Drosophila melanogaster: one gene and its partners. The gene in region 2 interacts genetically with the main gene of each other region. Each region holds a gene or a part of one and is shown on either strand. Other genes may lie near its edges.

Region 1 (7,496 bases), on a different chromosome or scaffold from region 2:
TACCTGTCGTGGGGGGGGGAGAGGTAAATAATAATAAAAAAACGAAAGAAAACGGCAGCGCCGACGAACAGAAAACAAAAACAGAGGCGGCGTGGCCAAAGGAAAAATGTTCACAAGCGCCGCTTAATTACCCTATATAGAGTCTTAAGTTGCGCTATTAATTGCGGGCACTGCTTATTAATATTTTGCCTTATTTTCTTCTTTTTTCCACCTTTTTTTTTAACTCACACCCCCCCTCCCTCCGTTCCTCGCCGACTGGCGAAGCTGACAAAGGAGCGATTCCATGCGATTCGATTCGAATCGAATGTCTGGGGGCTGGCTGGCAGCCAACTACTTGTCGCACCGATTATATTGTCAGTTTTTATTAATTGCTGCAAATACTCGGTCGCGTTTGCGACGCGATGGCGCTAAGCGTTCTTTATATGCACAGTTTATATTTCTTTTCATTTCCACTTTTTTTCATTTATTAAACAAAATCGAGTATACGCCCCGTTGTGACTGGAATTGATTTGATTCGATTGCGGTGGCAATTGACTGCGAATGTGCGCCCCTTTTAAGTGTTTTTAATCGAATTGCCATTTGCATTAGCTTAGGGATTGCGAGTTATGCCAATTCGTGAAAGTTGATTTGATCTAAAATAGATTAAGGGCATATTTGCAATGGCTTATGCCAATTATTCTGATATTTCAATTGTAATTTGTCCATTGATTATACCCGACTATTACAATCTTTTATATACAAATATAACAAAGCTAAGATCCTAATTTTAAAACAATATGCCTTAAAATTAGTTATATTTATAAAGAAAAATTGTTTAAAAAAATTCTAACATACATACAAAAAATAAATTGTTTTTTTCACAATTTCTGCTAGTTGTTTGACTTAGCGAGGCTTGCCTGTACCTTGAATTATCTAAGCACAATCCATAACGACCTTGTCCAAATCAAAGGGAGGCCGTCGTCGCTGTGATCGGAAAAGTAGGGGCAGCTCCACTTCGCTGCTATTGTTGTTGTTATTCTTGGCGCACTTGCAGCAGCAACAACAACAATACCATACGCTATAACAACAACTACAAACGGACGAGCGCTTTTTCAGTCACTCGCAGCTTATCGCAATACGCTTAAACAAACAGCGGTCTGGGGCATAAATAAACTTCCGTTGCCGTTCTCATGGCACTTGTTGTTCTTGTTCTTGTTATTGTTATTATTGTTGTTGTTGTGGTTCCTGCTGCCAGTTTGTTTGATTTGCGTTTCCCCATCTCTTTCACTCCACCCATATCGCTGTCTCTGTCCCGGTCTCTCTGTTGTTTGCCGGCTTTCAATTGCCTTCAGTTTGCGCGCGTAACCAGAATCGTTACGAAAGAGAGCGCGCTCTTAATAAATAAAATAAAAAAGTTTTAAAAAAATATCGCCGAAATGTAAGCGATCGTATTGGGAACACAGAGAACAATAGCAATATTTATTAAACCGATTTCAAGGTAGTCTTTGTCATAAAGGACCCTTTTCAAATTTACCAAACAACAATGATTATATAATATAATATTGTCAGTAAAATATGTTTTAAAAAAAAACAAATATTTTGTACTGTTTCGCTTAAATTAATATTTTAAAATTAAAATAAAATTAAGATTCAACTTTTTTAGCTGGACCTTAGTCATCTTTATGGTTTTTCGCACTGCACAACTTTGCGCGCTAATTTTCCATGGTAATTTGCTAACTTTCCCACTTTTACCTGCCTAATCCTGGGCAGCTGTAAATGATTGATTTGTTCAGCGGTTGTGACCTGAATTGCGTTTTTCTTTTGTTTTTTTTTTGTAATGCAATGCTTAGAATACGTAAAGCCACGGGCCTAGGCGCTCATAATTGCAGTTCCCGAAACGCTGAACGCTCCGCCCCTTATGGTTTCAGTTGTTTTCCTCTGCCTGGCGGGCATAAAAATACACCTGTTTGCGGCAATTTAATACTTTTTATGGCAGGGAAATAACGCAGTGGCTGCTGTTGTTGCCGCTGCCGTTGCTACTGCATTGCTGGCATGGCAAAGGCGCAGGTAATTCGGAAGCAGCCTCAAATGAAGCCGCAGGCAAGCGGGAATGGGAATGGGAATGGGAATCCGAAGGGGTATATGGGTATGGGTATGGGTATGAAGCGGTAGTGGAGCGGCAACAACAAAAGCGAAGCCGCCGAAACGTGTAGCCAGTGCCAACAGCAGCGTTATTAGACCGGCCTGATCTGAGTATCTGCATCTGTATTTGTATCTGTATCTGAGTATCTGTATCTGTGGATGTGCGCACGTCTGCCAAGCGGTCGCCTTTACCGCTGCTGCCCGCTGATCGCTTTTTACTCCGAGCGCGCTAAACCCGTGCCGTTTTCGGCTTTGTACTTTGCCGCCCATGGACTCGTGTATGTTTGCGGCATGTTGCAAAGCAGATCGAAGCTGGCCAGCAGGGCACCGAGAGAAATTTTTTTGGGGATCTTAAACAGTAATATGATTTTCATAGTTTCCGTTGAAGAGCGGTCAGTTAATAAAGGATCAAATGTAAACGAACTGAATAGAAACAAAATCAATGTTCGATTAGCAGTTGTACTAGCCAATAGTCAACGTAACTATAATCAATTAACACAGCATTTAGATATATTCAGCTGGCTGATTTTATCTAAAACGTTTAGCAGTCTGTTTTGAACATTTATATAATCAGTCATTTTCATCTTAACTTACAAAGCTTGAGGAAATGATCAGCAAGATATTCACTCTAGTTTTAAATAACCAATAAAATTGTTTGCCGTGCACTTCGGGCCAACTACAAAAACCCAAGGCATCGTCGTCGCACTCATTGATCTTAACTTTGAAAACAGTAGCTACTACGGCCGAGGAGTGGAGTAGATGTGGCTGTGGCATGGCTATGGGGATGTGGGGATCCGGGGATGTGTGGATCTCGAGCTTGAAGCGAAGTGGGGCGCACGAAGGCGGCCTGCACTTTGTTGTTGCTGCTGCTGATGAGGGTTTTTGGTTAGCTACACTTAAAGACCCATTCCCCGCTCATTTCTGTCGGCCTTTTTGTTTTCTTCTCATCCGCATCGGAACCCTCCCCCCTTACACCCCCCCCCCCCTTCACATCACCAATCTGCAACTTATTTTTCTTTGCTGTTTTTGTTTTCCGCCTTTTCTGTGGCTTTTTGCGCACGCAGGCAAATTTAATCTCGTTTTTTATGCCCTTGCAAAGGATTTTCAAATTGATTTCGACCCGACTATGCAAATGTCGTAAATAAAGCTGTAGAGGGTTTTCAGTTTTTGGTGTTTTCTCAACCGAGTTCTCACAACCTGGCCAGCGGCATAAGTCGGAAGCTATTAATTTTAATTGACGTGCTACTGTATTTTTTGGGGTTTCAGCTTAAGCGGCAACTTTTGATATCCCCTTTCCCTCTTTCGATTATATTCATTTTTATTTATTTATTTTTTGATAATATTTCGCAGCAGCTTCATATTTCATTTGTGGGGCTACCGTATTGCGGCGTTCGCTTTTGATAACTCACCTGCTGTGGCTTAATCCATTTATTTGTAGCTTCTCCGGCTTTAGCTGCCATTTTATCAATTTGTTCGACTGCCATTTTCGATTCGATTACACATAGATATAGAATAGATTAAATATAGATTTTCTGTTGTTTGTTTTGCTTATTTATTATTTTTTTGTATAATATTTGTTCAGCACAGTTTTGAGCACTTTTTGGGGCGCTGCATTGTATGCGATCGGTATTGATTTTTGTTTTGGCACTTATAAACTTGTGATTTTGATTTCTTTAGAAGGGCGGGGGAATATTTTTTTCTGATTTCTCGTCATTCAACTGTGAAGTATAATGTATTTGATGCGATTCTGTTTTCAATTCTGGTGATAGCACTGCGATGTTTCGTTATCTGCGGCACGGCACACGCGCTCAAAACGTCCGCTCACGTCGAATGCTCGCCACGGAATGAAATTTTTACCTTGCGCTGTGGAAGTGCCGAAGTTGCTGTTGCTGCTCTGCTACCGCCGCTGCTGCTGTCGCCTTCGCTGCTGCGGTCGACGTCGTTGCTCTCTCTCTCTCTCACGTGCTCTCGCCTTCTCGCTTCGCAGCGGTACTGCGTTTTTGTTTAGAATACGCAAAATAATAACAAAACTAATAATAAACTGCAGGGCAATGCAATTTGAGAGAATCGCGGGCAGCGCTGCAACTGCGACGCCAACTGAGGCGGTGGCAGTGGCAGCAACAGCAGCAGCTACTTGTTAATAAGCGTATTAAGGTTCCCTTTGATCTGCTTAATCGAATGCCGAAATGAAACGCAACGCGCTTCTGGTCTTCTCGCTCGAGTTCGTTGCCTAAGTCTTTTGTTTTTTGACTGCGCCTTTTTTTTTCGTTTTGCTCGGTTAATGCTAATTTAGTGTAATTGCAATTATAATGCAAACTCTCATAATTCGCTCATCGCATATATATGCTTTTATTGTTTTCCCTTTATTTTTTATATTATTTTTTTTTTTTTGGCTGGGTCATTTGGTGTTTTATGGCTGTCGGCATTTCGTGGAAACGGAGCAATTTTGATATGGCCCTGGACATTCGGCAGCTTGGATGCGGCTTAAAGACATAAAATCTCAATAAAGTAGCCAGCGACTTTTATCTAATTGTAAATCTAAAGGCGAATTCCCCGTTCCCGCAGCAGACCCTTGCCACACTCTTCTTCTTCTATAAAGCAAACTCAATTAATAAGAGATCATTAAAAATTCTTCTCTTTTTTTGGGTCTTTTGATTTTTGCCGTATTTGGCCCCGAAATCGAAATACTTTTTACGATTTACCCCCGCCTCAACGACACCCCGTCACAAGCATAAAATTGATTCGCTTTTGCGAAAAATTTTATCACTGACCAAATTGATTTTAGCTGTTCGCCGCCGCCGAAGCGCTGCTTCAATAGAAATTGTAGGCCTAAAGGAAGAAGGCAAGCAGAGCAAAAACAAAAAAAAAAAAAAGAAATGGAAAAATGAGAAAAACAAAACAGCGCCTGAAAAAATGATGTCCAACTGGCGGCGACGGCGGCGGCAAACATAAAAGTGGGAAATAGAAAGGAGCCGGCCCGGTCGACCAGTCCGATTCAGTGCAATATTTATGCATTAAGTACACGCAATTATTATGCGACAACGGCGGCGGCAGCATCTCAGGAGATTATTGATGCTCGCATTGCTCATACGCAGCGTGGCCATCTACCATCTACCATCGACTTGGCGCTTGTGCCGTTCCAGCAATTAAAACGCCGCCAGCACGCGATGAATGCCATAAACATTTGACGCGCAATCAGCAGCAGCAGCAGCAGTTGCAGTTGCAGTTGCAACTCCTTCGGCTGCTGCAACAGCAACAGCAGCAATTACAGCAGCACAAATTCAAAGACACTCCATGACGATTTTGCCATCGGGATGATCATCTGGCTGTGATGAGTGCTACTTTTACTGCACCGTAAAATATTGTGGCATAATCAAAATATTTTAATGTTAATATATTGTTTTATTAAAGTTTAGCATTCAAATTTTAATGATTTGTTTATTACCAGCTATTTTTAGATTCGAAAGGTGCCTTTTTATTCTAAATGATACTTTAGATTGACCTCCAATCAAATTCATAAAACAGTATAAGAAAACATATAAAATATAAAAAATAAATTAATGTAATTACTTATTATGGAATACAATATAATGGTTTCTTATAAACGAAAGTCACAAAGTTTATATACATATTCTGATAAGTGTCAAAAACAATTTGTATTATTTTCGTTGTTCACCTAAAAACTTTACTTTACCGCAGCACGCAAAGCGGTGATGTTTCCAACCCCAGCAAGGTGTGCTACTTTTACTACACTGCAACAAAACCTTTGTCCAAAATGAATTAACTAAACATTTTAGCTGACTTGGTTAAAAACAAGTACTCACTGAAAAACTAGATAGTTAGTATTTGTTGATTTGATAAAGCATACTCAAATGGTTTTTATTGATCCCAAAAAGCATACATTTTCTTGCGGTGTGGGGCCAGGAAAAACAGATCACGGGCGGACGGACATGGACATTCATTTCGCTTAAGCGCACTAACCGGGTAAACTGGTCGGTGTCTTTGATCCTGGCATTCTATTGTTCCGTTTCAAAGGCCACTATTATGTAAACAATCGGCGGCTTTGATCTTGGCCGCATCAAAGTTGTGCCGCCGCGTTTCATCTTCTGCCGCATGCAGCAAATAGCAAGCAGCAAGCAACAAGCAGCAGCGCCAGCTGATGCGATGCCCCAGCGGAAGATGATGACGGTGATGATGATGATGATGATGATGATGATGATGAGGATGATGACGATGACGATGACGAGAAAGAGGACGGCGAGGAAGCGACAGGCACTGCGTAGTTAAAGCTGCTACATCGCTACCAACGCTGCTGAGCTATATAATTTCGCATAGGCCGATCCGATCACCTGGAGAACGGAGCACCTGGAATACAGAGCCTCTACCGCAACCTCATAACTTTGGGCATAATCTTCAAAGCGCCGACCGACCGATCGCTTGACATCAATCGAGTCGGCCATTCGGCCGCTCTAATCCCAACAGATGGGCTCCCGGATCGCCGGTCGCCGATAAGCAATTAAAATTTCATTTAATGCACAACTTTATTATCGGTTCGGCCCAGTCACGGTCACGTCCTTTGATCCTTTTGCCCGATTTCAGGATCCGCTGCACAACTGTTCTCCGGTGTTTTTTCATCTTTATTTTGCGAAAAACCAAAGCGTCCGCTCGCTGTGGGAAACGCAACAGGTGCGCCGAGGCTCCAGCATCCAGAATCCAGCATCCAATCTCCAGTCGGCAGCAGCATTTCTCATCCATCAGCCGGCGGAGCGAGCATCTTTAATTTCTTCCAGCCGGGGTTCATAATTGCATTGCTCTCGATTGACGGAGGTCAGTGATGTTGCATGGTCACCAGGTGCTTTATGGAAATTTTAAAGGATTTTACTGAAAATTTATTTAAATAAAGAAAAACCACTAAAACATATTCTAAAATTCTTAAAAAGTTATATTTGAGGTATTTGTGACCTATGCAAATAATGTTATATAATTTGAATAATTTCTATACTTTCAATTAAAGTAAACATTTTATTCATTAACAAATAAATATGGTTTAAGAGTAGAAAGTAGAAGTAAGAGAAGAGAAGAGTAGATAAGTAAAAACTGGAAAATTATTTGCTTTTTACGAATATAAAAACCTTATGCAAATGGCGACGTAATCATGAGGATTAATCATGATATGATTTTACAAAAGGTATTGTTAAACCTTAATTTCTGGTTACATTTCTATTAATTCTTTTATTTCTTAGAAATGAATGATTTGTTCAATAAGCGTTCAGCTCCATAGGCCGCCAGAGATGGCTGAAATGGTTTCCACACTTGGCCATGGGGCAACCACTTTCTGGTGGCACTCTCTCGGATCGCACGCTCCAATGTTGCAC
Region 2 (7,745 bases):
CCGCCTCCGGATCGTGGCAAGATCTCAAGGATCACATGCGCGAGGCCGGCGACGTCTGCTTCGCGGACACTTACAAGGATGGTTCCGGCGTCGTTGAGTTCCTGCGCCACGAGGACATGAAGTACGCAATCAAAAAATTGGACGACTCTCGCTTCCGATCGCATGAGGTATGTAAATTGTCCAGTTCCAACTTTGTAAAATTCAAATGTATTCGGGTTTCAAGGTAGAGAATTTACTTTTGCATTTATTTTGTCAGCATACATTATTCACAGGCTGGAATAATTAAATATGATTTCAGGAATAACATTAAGTTATATTGGTGTAGATGCTTACACTTACGCCCTTAAATGTGTCAATTTGATAAACATCTAGTTCACATTCCTGTTTACATTTTGAAAAATAGTTTGGCGACATTATTCAAATGATATTAATATTTTTATTGTCTTTAGGGCGAGGTTGCCTACATTCGCGTACGCGAGGATAGCGGTGATAACGACAGAGGCGGTGGTGGTGGCGGCAGCGGTGGAGGTGGTGGCGGCAGCGGCGGAGGTGGAAGCCGTGACTACCGCGACAGGTAAACCAAATATTACCACAGTTCATTTTTCAATATTTATTCTATGAATCCCTCCACAGATCCCGTTCGCGCTCATTCTCGTCGAGGCCGCGCCGTCGTGGCACTCCCACATACTCCCCAGTGCGACGTCAATCTTATTCCAGGTCTCGCTCACGTTCTAACTATTAAACACAACCAAGCATTATCCATTAATCTATAATATTTTAATGAGCAGGAAACAGGAAAAGCAAGCTATATTAGGAAATACCAATCAATATTTGTTCAAGACCCCTCAAATACCCCAATTGTAAATTGATTTGTAAAATGAAATCAACGACCAATCAAGTTTGTTCAGTCAAGTTCCGAACTCTCACCGAAGCCAACATACTTAAAAAAGAAAAACACTTGCTTTTCCAACTTATCACACGTTCTAAGAAGCAGAAATGTTCTCTTAAGTTATAATCCACCGGGCAAAATTTGACAAAAACAGTTCTAAAATGACAACTGTAAACCAAGGAATTCTCTTTGGCCAAAAGCACTCGGCATTCCTTGATTTGCTTTTGATTATCTTTTGAGCCTTTGCTCAGTCTGCTTCCTACATATTATATTATAACTCTTATTTTGGCTGCACGTTTTCCAAGCTAATTTATTAGAATCTACCTTAACGAAAACAAGAAACATCGATACAGAATAAATATGTTTGTAATGAGATAAAGAAAAGAAACAGAAATCCGAACACAACGCAATGTCAACCACATTGATAAGCAAACTATTAATACTTTAATTTTTATTTTCTTCTCTTCCCCATTTTGCGCGTTTATGTTTGGAGAGTGATGAGGATGTGGAGGATGAGGATTAATGGATGTGGAGGAGGATATTTTGATGTTGATTTTGGCGTGGATTGGATAAATTTGGATTGAATTTAGTGGAGGCAGGACCTGTCTATAGATCTTATAAATATGAAAATATTTATTTGATTGTAATCAGGATTGGATTTGGATTTAGGATTGTTCTGAGCCCTTCGCTAGGACAACGTGGGATGCAGTGTCCCATGGCTAACTCGCACCTCGGAGGAGGAGGAGACAGGAATTTCGCATTGTTGAAGGATTTTATGTGTGAACTTTGGTCGTGTTCAGGTTAACGGATGTTTGGAGGAGGAGAATGTCGATGGCATCGTTGACGGTGAGGAACACTTGCGTTGCCCTTGGACAGGACTAAATCATACAGTTTCGGACTCGGCCGCATCTCTTCGAGCCTCGCCCCTTCTTCGGCATCTGCCTAACGGTCGGGATTAGGATTCGCTTGGACAGGCTCACACGCTTTGTTGTCGCCTTCTTTGGATCGCACTTCAGAAACTAGCTCACCCAGGGAACCGCGTATTTCGTGGCCTTCGCGCCCCTGTCGTTGTCATTTCACGGATTTGCTGTGCATCATCCAACGTTGACTTGCGCCCAACGCTGGATAGTGGATAGTGGTTCTTGGTCTGGTCCGATCCGATGCGTTCCGGTCTCCCTCTGTCTCGCCTCTCTGTGGTATGTTAGATTGCCACATCAAATTTAACTTTTAATTTGCGTTATTTAGTTTATAATTTATATACTCTTTACCCAAATCTTTCGTCTCCATTGATATTGTTGCCTCTGAAATGTGGCGATTGTCGCGTGTGCGTTTTGTTTTTCATTTTTTTTGAATAGAAGGGCGAAAATTCATAGGCCCCGACTATAGCCCACACCCGCATCATTTGCATGAACTTTCGTTAACCTAATAAAAAGTAATACCACAGCAATTTTGGAACAGAACAGTTCTCTCGTTCTCCTTGCTTATCGATCAACATATAAGCCATAGTTCTAACATATTTTTGAAATGAAATACACATTTACAATAAATATTCATAAAAATTAAGAAAAATGTCATGCTTTTAATACAACATTATAAGATGGGTGCAATCAAATACTTTTAGCAATTTATCTTGCTGAGATTATGAGCTTAAAATTAGACTGCTAGACTCGTGTAGCAGGTATTTGTGTTTATGGGATGTTCCTGTACTTATGAAGATTACAAATTAAGTTTGCTTGTATTATCTGCAGGAAAGACTTCTGTTCTGGATTTCACAACCTTTGCATTCCGAATCAATTTTAAACTTCCCGCTTATGGATTTTTACAGAGGACTGTTATTAGGGCAATGATGACCGTATTGTTTTAACGCAAAATACCAGATTTCTCTGTGCGAAAAACGATTTTTGGTCACTTTGCAGCACGGCCACACTGGCAAACAAACTATATAAGCAACACGCGCATTTTGTTGTTGGGTTTTTCAAAAAATATTCACCAGCTGTTCGGACGCGCGTGGGAACTGCTCTGTGTTTGTTGTTTTTTATAATTTCGAACGGAACGAACTGGTCGCATACGGATTTTAATTTATATTTACGTACTAAGCTAACGCGCGCTGTAAAATAAAAGTAGCGTAGAATTTCTAAACCAACCATCTGACACGAGAAAAGTGCGCCAAAAGTTCGGAAAACCCGTAGAAACCCTGTTGAAAGTACGAATTGCATGTCAAAATTGCTAACCCACGTAATAATGAATAACAAATAATTCGGAAAGTGCAATTTCGTGGGCAGTCTTTCGACAGCTGAAGGAGAAGATATCGGCCCAGATAGCCGGCCCTTCGTTTATGAATTGTGTTTTGTGGCGGTGTATCCAGCTTATCTCCGCCTTGTTCGGCTCCAGTTTTATTGAACTCTACCGGATCGGACGGTACTACCCATCTGGGGATAGTCAGTGGGACTGAGGAAGCTATTAATCGATCGCGATTGTACAACCAATTACCGGGTTTATCACCTAATTCGAAGCCGCTCGGCACGACGCGAACTATAAATAGAAGCTGAAGTGTCCAAATAATCGGTAGACAGCGCTCATGATCACAATCGCAATAGTGTGTTAAAACTACAACTACTGGAAGTTTAAACAGATATATATATATATTTAGATATAGCCTGAGGTAAGAAGTGCATTTTATGGATGTTTTGCATGCCCACGGAACTGCTGAGATCATTAAAGTTGGCTATTGAAAGCGCAGCATCAGCGAATTCCCCCTAGGAGTCATTGTTCTCGCTTGAAACTTAAAAGGTTTTTTTATTGATCATAACTTGAAATTAGTTTTACGGGGGGAAGATCGACTGATCCAAGCAAATCATGCGATACTAGTCGTTTGTGGTCCTCATCAGGCATCCCAACTTGTTTGGTCTTTGTTCTACCGACTGTTCAACAGCACTTCCTCAATATTCCTGAGTGAAAGTAAGGCTTGGCTTCGATCGTTTGACATTGGTAATGTGACCCACTTAGGAGTAGGGTGCTTCTTTGGTAACTCGATCTGTCAAGCCAGAGGTGTTGCCTTGTGGCTACCTACTACCTAACTAACTGCTTGCAATACAACCTGCGTAGGGTCTTCAAGGTCTCCTCCCCGTCGGTTTCCTGTTCATCTAAGCAACCACTGTGAGAAAACTTGAGCTGTCTGTAGGAACACCTAGCATCAATATACAATTATGTGTGTAAAATAAGCATCCATATTCAGCAGCAATTTTTAGAATCCAGTTTAATTGTATTATGAGTATACATTGTATCTAGGGTTCCATACATTTCTTGCTAGTTATTTGTAGCAGTGCATATGTGTGCAGGCAGCTCGTTTGAATCCCTTGTGCGTCTCTAATCGGAGACCTGCCCATATGACCGGGCTCTGCTCTTTGTCCTCCCCGGCGTGTTAATCTTTTGTTGTGATGAGATGCTTATCACACCTACCGCCGCCTTGCGACAGGTGCATTCTGAAGTTTCCGCTGGAGCGAACCGCAACTGGAAACTGGCAACTGGCAACTGGCAGCCGTGGAAATGGGAAACCCTTTTCGCTCGACCATTCAAGTGCCGCTGTTCGTTTGACCGAATGATTGACGGGCGGCAACTGTGACCCCTTAACCCCTTGTTGCCGGCACTCAATGGGCCGCATCGCGTAAGCAATTTATGTTAATTGTTGTTTGCCTGTTGTGCCTTGCCTTTTGGACCGGGTCCATTCACTAATCGCTTGGAGGAAATTTAATTTAATGCGTATAACGAAACCACCCTTAAAATTTACCGATTGCTGACTAATTGTGGGAATTTTTAAATAATACCAGATACCCAATAGCAAGACAACTTTTTGCCTTAACTGGCAATTCGAAGTAAAACAAAAGATTTGTTTGCTAGATGATATGATTAAGTCGCAACATCAACAGATAAGATAATTTTTTGTTTATATAGAAGAAATAATATCTCTGCAATTCTGCAAAAAATGGTGTCCCATAGTTTCAGGGAATTCATTTCGAAAGCTTGAAAAATGCGCTACAAGCTTAAAAAATTTAAATTTAATAGTATGTCTTAAGGGTATTTCAGTTTCGTACAGATTTGTTTGCATTGAAGTACCTTGTATTTTCCAAAGCCAGTCTGGACAAGCATTTAATTAGACACTTTTTACTTTTCCCAGCATAAGACACCAACTTTTATCCGCCGCGGCAACAAGTTGAAGACACGAGTCTGGCCCGTCTGTCTAATTGTTTTGACTGTGGCAATTTCTCCTGGTCTTTTTAGAGTTGCAGTCCGAGCTGGAGTGTGGCGGCCAGGAACTGGTTTGCCCGCTCCACGCAATCCCAGAGCTTTAATTCGGTCAATTCAGCGGGAGCGGCATAAGGCGGCTAAGGCTCATGATGATGATGATGACGATGACTAACGCTGGCCCCAAGGCACCGACCAGGCAACGAGAACGATCCAATTTGGCCTTTTACCGCAATCAGGTTTGGGATTCGGTTTTAGTTTTCGGTTTTGGTCCGCTCGATACGATACGTCAACGGGCCGACCGAATGGATGAATGAATGAATGCCCAGCTGAATGAGCGATTGGTGGCTGAATTATTCAGCTGGCCGGCAATCCATCATGCTGTCCTCGGAACTGGTTGACCAACACCACTTAATGAGTGGAAAAGGCGTCTCCGACATTTCCCATTTGCATCCCCATTCCCCGACGATTCATGCGATTCCCCATCCCCATCCCCACGCAGAGTCATTAGCCAGCCGCAAACTATGCCTATATGGGCTGATACCCCGTCAAACATGGCTCGCATTAAATACAGCCATAAAATCGGCCGGGAGGCGTGTACCATGGGGCACGCGTTTGGGGCGCCGTTTAATTGCGGTGCGCGATTTGCAAGCGTTTTTAAACGCCTCAATTTGCATTTGCATACTCACTGTCTTCGCTCTATGAATGGAAAATTGAACGCCCAATGGAGCAGTTGGTTATGCATGTCACTATAATAGTGAGGCAAGTGCAAATTAACACATGCACTGGGGCATCAATTTCAATTATTCTTTGTCCCTCTGAAAACTGATAAGGACAATGGGTGACGAGCTCGCACTATCTTGGGTTAATTGAGTAGTGAATTAAGTTTTATTGAAAAGTTTTAGAAACTATTAGAGATAGGAAGCTGGACGGACGCAGGTCGGCGGTGGGACATTCAAATAGGGCATGCTTAATATTAGTTTTTTCGGCTAGACCATATGTCTAAGAAATTAAATCCTATGTACTTCTTAAATCGTATATTTTTCATCAAAATAACTAAATTCAAAGCCATAGCATAGTAAATTGTATTTATTTTTAGCTTTGCTCTGCTAGACGCACCATTAACTTATCGTGCACCATCGGTTTGTAGTCCTATTTTACGACTTAGCCGCATGTCTGGCCGCAAGGCGCGTTTAAAAACGCCAGTGAAAAGCCAGCAAATCGCGTCAAACATTAAAAACATTACCCTGAACCGAGAGGGTTGGCCCTGGTAATTGTAAGCGGCTATTAAAATAATTTAACGCGCCTCCGTTTGCTGGCTAAAGGCCGCAAGGACGGGGCAGTAAGCATTACCCAGCCAGCCCGAAGGGATTAACATAATTTTTGCTAATATTGTGAGCGTGGCTCGCAGCACATAATGCGCTTAGAAATATGAAATGAATAAAGACTGCATTAACCTGAATGGTGGCAACGGCAGCAGGAGCAGCTTCAGCAGCTGCAGGAAGGATTGCGGCCACGGATTGTGGAGTGGTGCACGCAGGCTGAGCTGAGCCCAAAACTTAAGGGTGACGAGGAGGTAGGCGGCGGAAAAAGGAGCATGATCCATGATGAGCTGTGCGGCAGGAATGCGCCAAAAGGCAGCGACGCCGACTGCATTAAAGTGGAAAATCCTGTCTGACAACATTTAAACCGAAAAGAAATATATATGTACACAAACCTATAGTAAATATGTGCAAAATAAAGCCAACAACAAAAAACCACAAACAACACATAATAAGCGTGAAAAAAGGCAAAATGAGAGCAAAACCAACCCAGTGCAATTCCCAGACTTGGTTCCACTCCGGGCCAGAAAGGATAAAGTGGGCAATGAATAGGCAGTGTGGCTAGAAGAGCAAACCACCAACAAACAAAGGAAAGAAAACAAAACGAGAAAATTGTCTTCAACTGCTAGACGGAATGAAATGATACCCTAGAAAAAGTAAACAATTTAAAATTTTTTATCGTTTTCAAGATAGAAAATCCACCGCAAAAGATCACATTCACACATAGTGAACATTCTGAAATAGTAGTGATGCAGATCAATATTTACACTGTCTATCATTGTTGTAGTTTCAAAACAAACGTAAAACCAAATACTTTTTAAACATGTATCCAAAGTAACAATAATAATGCCGTTGTCATGCTTTATCTATACTCAAAGAATTTAGATTAGCCTACAATTCATAAATGTTCAAAGAGAACTGAAACATCATGCGATTATGATTAACCAATTGCTGAAAATATTTCGGACACCTGATCCACAGGCCCACTCAGCTCTAAAAGCATTCCGATTTGCACATTTTCGCGATTTCGTTTCCAAAGAAGGACGGCGCTAAGAACCGCATTTATAACATCAATAAAAGTTCGTGTTTGTTTACGTGGAAAACAAATTAATAATGGAAAATCACATGTGGTTTTTCACAAACCAAACACAAAAATCGAATAACTCACCCACTCGCACATGTACATATACGAAGAAAAGCAATTAAAATCGCGAAAAAAAACAATAAATTTGTGCGATTTTGGTTTGGCAAATCGCCCTTCGCCCAAAAATCTAAATATGAAGTTAAAAATG
Region 3 (7,610 bases), 3.7 Mb from region 2:
TAGCTTGTAATTTATCAGGCCAAGTAGCAAGAGTTAAAGTATTCCGGGAACAAAGTACTCCCATTGCGACCGAGTAATTTATATTCAACTTGGCCCATTAAGGTTACAAATCTGAAAGAATCACCGAAATGGGCCGCCCTCGCATCCCAAATAATAGAATAATCTGTCTGTTTTCCATTGGACACGCAACCTCATGAGCCCAATTTTCATGTTTGCCTTTCGCCACACTAATACAAGCACTAAGCATATTTTTCGTTTATGGCGCGTACAACTAATTAAGCTATTTTTAAAGACGGCGAATTTTCCAACGTACGCATCGGCAGGGGGCGTGGCCACGCCCTGCTCGTCACTATGTCTGGCCAGATCGCGTGCGGAAAACAGGGAAAACCAGAGGGCGAGGCAGCTGCGCTCAATTAATGTCATTTTGGCTAGCTATTTCAATTTGGAAAATAGTTTAATGCTCACTGCAGACAGACCCGCCGATAGCAAAAAGCGAAAAGCACGAAAATATATAGAATAAACATTTATATACATATATCTGTATCATAAACACAGCCATTTGACATTGAACTCTTGCTAAAAGTCACGCCCACTTGACTTCTTTTTCGGTTCTTGGAGCATCAACGAATTTGTTTCTTGTTTAATTAAAGACCGCCAGAACGAAATTGAAACATTTTTCAACAGCCACACATATGATAGAACTCATCGAGGCGTATGTATTTATGTATGTACATATATTAAATTTTTGTTTCGCCTGCAATTGGCAATTGATGACCTTCTTCAAACAATTTCATCGTGGCTTTTTTTAGACGTGACTGGCACGAGCTGGATTAATAGTTAAATATATCCAAAGTACGCAAGTATATGAACACCGCGAGGCAGCAAAAATTGAAGGAATAGCGACTGGTGCGGGTTTATGTGTCCCCAGGGTAGAATTTTATGTGCTGTTTTGCCTCGGTTCGGTTTTTATGGCCCACGAATGCACTTTACACCTCGGCCATTAAATCATTCATTAGATGCGCGGGGGGAAGCCTTATTAGTCCAACAGATAAGACAAATTTCAATCAACCACGCCGAAGATTTATGGGCGATATTATGAGTAGTGACCCAAATATACCAACCAGAAATCCATAGTTGTTTGTAAACTTTATGCTACAGATTAGACTAATTTCAATACGGGGCACGCGTGTCAAAGATTTATGAATAATAACACAGAAGCACAATCGCCTGCAAGCGAAATCTTATTATGTTACACATTTTCCATTTTTGGAGGAATTTCATTAGCACCTTTGCGTTTGCGTAAACAATTTCCGAGTTTTAAAGGCGCCAACCGAAAGGCTGTAAACAAAACATTTTGTTTTGTCTAATTAAAGCTCCCAAAAAATTGATAAACATCGAGAAAGAGTTCTATATTATAAAAGCTGTCTTTAGCGCCGAAGGGAAAAACACTCCAACGCATATTTTTATACGAATATTTTAAATAATAAATTTATTAATGCGCCATAGCAAAACAAGTTTCGTGCGATCCAAAAATGTATGAATGGTAATTCCAATAAAAGCACACATGTACGGCAAATATTAATGAATAAATTCAGCATTTCGCCAATTGGTGTGCTAATTTGCATTGGAGCCAAGTAACAGAAAATTATAAATTATAAGCAATGGGAATTAATGAGGGGATTTGGCACTTACCTGATCTTGACAAAAGTATCCAAATCCGATGATGCCGGCGATGGCCAGGAAGAGGCAAAACACAATGATTGTTCGGATTTTGGAGCGCGGTTCCATTTTCTTGATTTCATAAACACCACTGGGCAGCAATAAGGCAAAATCACTATCGACTTGAACAGATACGTTCTTATGCATATCCCCGGGCATGTTCCATTCCCTGGCCTCCCTCGAAAATCGCACTAAAGGTCCAACAAGGGTCCACCCGAGTGGAGTCCAAGCGGGTATCCGTATCGGCCTAGCGCAACGAGAACCAGACGCGAATCGGAGGCGAGGCCAACTCAATCATACTTCAGTCGCTGCCCGATAAGAACTCGAAAAATGGGAACACCTTCGCCCATTGCACTTGGCGCGGAAATGGGTTTTCCTTGTCTCTCGGCTTTCAGTGCCTGCAAATGGAGTAAGAGTGAAAAACGGTTAGAAACCTATTAGTTTTGGGAGCACTACAAAAGCAACACCGTTTCCGATTAGTTACCACTTGACCATGCCGATAAAGCGGTCTGTCAAATTGTCTAGCCCTTATCTAGCCACTTACTTAGTAGCTGAAAGCTCTTCAGGGGAAAATCAAAAATAGTTTTTAAGAACCTAAATCTATGGCAGACTGATAAGAAGTTCACAATTAAAACGTACATACATAGTTAATTGGACTTTCTATTTTTTTGTTAGGGTCAAAAACTGATAAGCAGGCGGTGAAGTTGATTTATCGTTTAATCTGACCCTATTTTAATTGCAAATCTATTAGTAAGTATTCAAGACGGGCGTGAATAACAAACGTTTGTGCAATAACAAATTTATCTTTATTTGTGTGGGAAATCTTAAATTAAATTTCCACGCGCGAATGCGATCTGCAAATGTATAGCGTAACGATAAAATACATAAATCAACCAATAATGACGCAATAGTGGAAAGTGAATGGCGGAGCCGAAAGCAATGCATTTAGTATACCCTTAATCAATTAAAAATACGTTTAAATACGTTTATTATTTAAAGCAAAAAACCTACATCCGTACATGATAATACGTGCAATTACTCAAATAATAACTTATTATAGTTAAAAAATAGTTTGTACTTATTTCATTTAATATTTAAATTATCTAGTGATTCTTTATTTATAAGAACATATTGTAGTTCAGTTATAAAAATAGTTATCAATAATATGGTAAATATAATGAATGAACAGCCTTTGTTGTATGGGTGATTATTATCACAAGTCGCTTTATCTGGCTTCGATATTGTTTATATGTGATAAACCCGATTGGAAAATGCGTAACATATTAGGGTTTGAATGATATTGACTACATGCGAGTAAGTTGCATTTAGGTAGGGTATTTAAATGTACAAACACCCAACTAAAATAACTGGCGATCGGCAGTCGGAGTGACGCCCAAGCATAACTGGTGCCTTATATTTATGTAGGCGCTTTTTACTTCACGATCGGTGCTTCTGTAGCGATCACAATTATTGTAAACAAATGGAAAAGTTGCTTATTGGCAAATTGGACTAACAGAGAGACAAGAAAAAAAAGGCAGATGTGGCGAAACATGTTGCCAGGCAACAATAACAAAAAAGCATGCATGCTGTGCACACATGGCCGTTTAATTCACTTCTCTGTACTCTAAACTATACTTAAACCATGCTAATTGCCTACCCAAATTATCAGGTTTTTCGAGGCAGTGACGTCAGGGCAAGGAGTATAATTATAATAATAGAATCAAACGATTTAGCAACATTGCAGTAAAAAAAAACAGAAGCAAAGGGGAGCAACAAAAACAGAGAGAGGGCAAAATAAGAGAGAGGACAACCAGACAGAGCGAGATGCCAAACAACAGCTGTTCTTCTTGCCAGATGCGAAATGGGCAATTTAATGAAATTTATCTAGATTTCACTCACTTTTCACTTGCCAAACGTCGTGTTTGTGCACTTTTCACAATTGTCGCGGCGTCACACGTTTATTTATTTACATTTCTCTGCGTTTCAGGCGCTCGCACGCTCAATTAGCGCGCTTTCCGCTTTGTGCCACACATTCTGTGCCAGCCACAAAAAAGCCCGCAATTCGCACTTTCATGTGTTTTCGGCTATTTCTGCGATCGTTTTTCCTGCACTTGCACTGCTCAATAGCTAATGTTTAGTTAATTGACACTTTCTAAGCGTTTTGCGTATATTTTTTACGAATTATTTTGGCAAAACGACGCGGTACCAGCGTCAACGTCCGCATTCTTCAAAATCGGCGAATGAACTGAACAAAACGAACTGCGCAAGTTGGGCAATAGGAACAGCTGACCGCGCTGCCAGACTGCCGAACGGAAACTCGCTGCGAGAGTCTGGCAGCACTTGCAACCATCGATATAAACTATTGGTAACGAATATTTAAAGAATTAACTTTATAGTTCCATTGAAAATACATACATAAAACAACTATAATTATGATACCTAACATAAAACATCGTAATATCTTATTTATAGTTATCTTTTGTATGCAATATTCAATTTTAAGTTAATTAGATAAACACCAAACGTTTTTTTATTTGTGAAAATAGAAAAAGAATTCAATAGAAACAAGTTTTCAAGGCAATCTGCATATTCTTAAATCCAACTTTATGGGCACTTTTGAATATTCATTTATTTTGCAGCCCTAGCAATCGCTGAGCGATAACCATAAGTTGACTATCGATAGCAGCAGAGCGATATGCAAAACAAACGAAAAAAGTAAAAGAGCGGTGTAAAGCAGACAACATAGTTTACATTTTTTGCAACAAGTTTTTCAACTTAAAGCCAACTCCCATCGTCCAATGGAGGTGGACCAGATTCCCCTGGCCGACGTGGTCTTCGTCATCGAGGGCAGCGCCATCAACGGAGCCTACATCAACGAACTAAAGACCAACTACATCCTGCCGACTTTGGAGCACTTCACCACTGGCTCCATCGACGAGCGGGAATACCTGATTGCGGAGCGCTTTGCCACTCTGTACGGTATTGTGGTCTACCGTACAGCGGCCAATCTGCTGGAGCCAGTTTGTTCAACCTATGGTCCCTTTCTGCAGCCCCAAAAAGTGATGGAGACGATCGAAAGATTGCCACTAGTGGGAGGCGGAATGGAGTCCTGTGCCCACATGGCCGAAGGATTTGCTGCGGCCCACGGCTGTTTTGATGACATCAGCGAAAGGCGCCAGTTGCTCGATCAGACCAGCGTCCAGAGGCACTGCATTCTCATCTGCAACAGTCCGCCGTACCAGATGCCCACAACGGAGTCGTGGAAGTATCCGGGCAAATCATGTGAGCAGCTGGCGGCGCTCTTCAACGAGCGCAAAATCAATCTCTCCATTATTGCGCCACGCAAGATGCCGGTGTTGTTCAAACTTTTCATGAAGGCCGACGGAGATCAGCCCATTACGAGCAAAAACTATGCCAAGAACATAAGACACCTAGTGCTTCTAAAGGGATACAGCCTCAAGGAGAGAGCACCTAGTCCCAACAGCATGGCGGCCCAAATGGCTGCACCCAATGCGGCACAGGCTACAGTGCAGCAGCAACAACAACAGCAACAAAATCAAGCTGGTCAGCAACAACAAGGGCAGGGCATGCCCATGGACACCACTCCAGCCCAGCAGCAGCAACAGCAACAACAACAGCAGCAGCAACAGCAACAACAAGGCAATCCTCAGCAGCAGGTCATGAACATGAACACGATGCAGCAACAGCAGCCCGGTCCAAATCCCCCAGCGGGCTTACTCAATCCACAGCAGCAGCAGCAACTATTGCAGCAGCAGCAGCAGAATCAATTCGTTTCCAATCAAATGCAGAATCAGAACTTCCAGCAAAACGTGGGACCCGGCCAAAACCGCTGGATGTATCCCAACCAGCCTGGTCAGGCGCGTCCGCCCTTCATGCAGGGAGCAGGCAATGTGGGCGGTGTGGGCCAAGGCGGCGGCATGCAACAGAATCCAAATTCTGCTCTGATATCGCGCATTAATGCGCCGCCGCCGAACCAAACTGTGACCTCGCTGCAGCAGCAGCAACAGCAGCAGGCGCAGCAGCAGCAGCAGCAGCAACAACAGGCCCAACAGCAGCAGCAACAAAGGATGCAGATGCTGAGCCAGCAGCAGATGCTAAATCACCAGCAGTTGCAGCAGCAACAGCAACTGGCCCAGCAACAGCAACAGCAGCAGCAAGGACAGCAACAGCAGCAGGTAAATCCCAATGCAGGAAACAATATGATGCCGGCTAGCAATGCCGGCAACATGTCTAATCCGCAGCAGCAGCAACAACAAGTAGGACAACAGTCGAATCCGCAGCAGCAGGGCAATCCGCAGCAGCAACAGCAGGGAAATTCGCAGCAGGAGCAGGCCTCCTTGAGGGAAAAGATATGGACCGGAGTGCTGGAGTGGTCAGAGAAGCCAAAGTCCGATCAACAGAAGATTCCCCATACACTCCAGTGTACCGTGTGCACCAACATCAAAGATGGCGAGCCCGAGATCAAGGCTGAGAACTGGCCGCCCAAGCTGTTGATGCAGCTAATGCCCAAGCACCTAGTTGGCAATATTGGTGGGCAGTTTCTCAAGGACTCGAAAATGGTTGTTTTTCGACCCACTCCAGGAGAGGCACTCGATTCGCTGGCCAAGATGATGACCTCCGGCTATGCTGGCTGCGTCCACTTCTCCTCCATCCCCAACTCACCAGCCTGTGACCTTAAGGTTCTCATCCTACTCTACACGCCCGATCGCAACGCTTTTCTGGGCTTCATTCCCAATAATCAGGCAATGTTTGTGGAACGTCTGCGCAAAGTCATACAGCAAAAGCAGCACGGCAACATGCAACAGCAGCAGCAACAGCAGCAAATGATGCAGCAGCAAGGCAAGTCGCCCATGGAGCTGCAGCAGCAACAGCAACAACAACAACAGCAGCAACAGATGCAACAGGATAACTCGCAGCAGCAACACTACAACCAGTTCCAACTCAATATGCAGATGGGTGGTGGAGGTCCTGGCGGCGGACCTGGTCCCGGTCCCGGCGGCATGCCCATGCAACAGAATCAAATGCAGATGAACATGATGCAGCAACAGCGAATGCCACTGGGCGTAGGTGTTGGCGTGGGTGTTGGTCCCGGTGGCGTGCCCAATCCAAACCTCCAGCAGCAGTTGCAACAAGTGGCGCCAAACGTCGCCGCAATGCAGCAGCAGCAGGCGCAACAGCAGCAGCAGCGCATGGTGCGTCCCATGATGAGCAACAACAACCCGGGGCTGCGCCAGCTCTTGCAGCACCAGACCACGCCAGGCAATCAGTTCCGGCCGCAAATGGGTGGCCAGAATCCCAATCAAATGGGAGCAGGCGGTCCAATGGTCGGCAATCGCAACTTTGACGACGGAAACTATGAGTTCATGTAGGCTACTTAAGAGTATCGTATAAAAAACCAGAATTAAGACAGTAAAATATTTTATAAAATCCAACTGCAAGTCTTTTTTGGGGTAGTGGCAAAATCTATTTCCCAAAATCGAAATATTAATTTCTCCATTTTCATAACATTTCGTTTATTTAATTAGTAAGAATCAAGGGAAATCCGAATTTGCACAAGACTTATATTAATCACAGAACATAATCTCCGAGAAAGTCCACTAGTTTGCTCCACCGCCGCCGCCCCCCGAGGATGCGGAACTTGCACTTCCAGCGCTAGCGGCAAACACCTTGCGAAGATTCTGCAAGATGCTGAACAGAACCGTTCCCGCGCTGCCCAACGTTTCCAGAACATCGAATCCGGTGCTGTCGATGGCTGTCTCCCGATCCTCCTCCGTTTCGATGGCCGGGGAGCTGATGTTCCCGCCATTGTGGTGAGTTTCGTGGACGCCATGGTGTCCAATCAGCCGATGAGTATTGCTCTTCACATGGGA

Evidence for each region. Genes that interact genetically often act in the same process or in processes that back each other up.
Region 1: of Sulf1 (region 2) and Notum, changing one enhances a phenotype caused by changing the other (phenotypic enhancement), as found in Drosophila melanogaster (one study listed by BioGRID).
Region 3: of Sulf1 (region 2) and Hs6st, changing one suppresses a phenotype caused by changing the other (phenotypic suppression), as found in Drosophila melanogaster (one study listed by BioGRID).

The regions. Positions count from the first base shown.
Region 1 is NT_037436.4:16,019,954-16,027,449, reverse strand, and holds the start of Notum (notum), read right to left. Parts: upstream 3,971-7,496; 5' UTR 3,606-3,970; coding exon 3,531-3,605; intron 1-3,530. UniProt on the Drosophila melanogaster protein: Carboxylesterase that acts as a key negative regulator of the Wnt signaling pathway by specifically mediating depalmitoleoylation of WNT proteins. Serine palmitoleoylation of WNT proteins is required for efficient binding to frizzled receptors.
Region 2 is NT_033777.3:16,333,651-16,341,395, reverse strand, and holds the start of Sulf1 (sulfated), read left to right. Parts: upstream 1-1,820; 5' UTR 1,821-2,085; exon of another isoform or gene 2,086-2,453; intron 2,454-2,852; exon of another isoform or gene 2,853-3,551; intron 3,552-7,745. Other genes in the region: SF2 (splicing factor 2), read left to right, coding at 1-167, 450-574, 634-742.
Region 3 is NT_033777.3:20,004,543-20,012,152, forward strand, and holds the start of Hs6st (heparan sulfate 6-O-sulfotransferase), read right to left. Parts: upstream 3,971-7,610; 5' UTR 3,619-3,970; intron 2,118-3,618; 5' UTR 1,879-2,117; coding exon 1,693-1,878; intron 1-1,692. Other genes in the region: MED25 (mediator complex subunit 25), read left to right, coding at 4,518-7,109; CG17190 (uncharacterized protein), read right to left, coding at 7,338-7,610.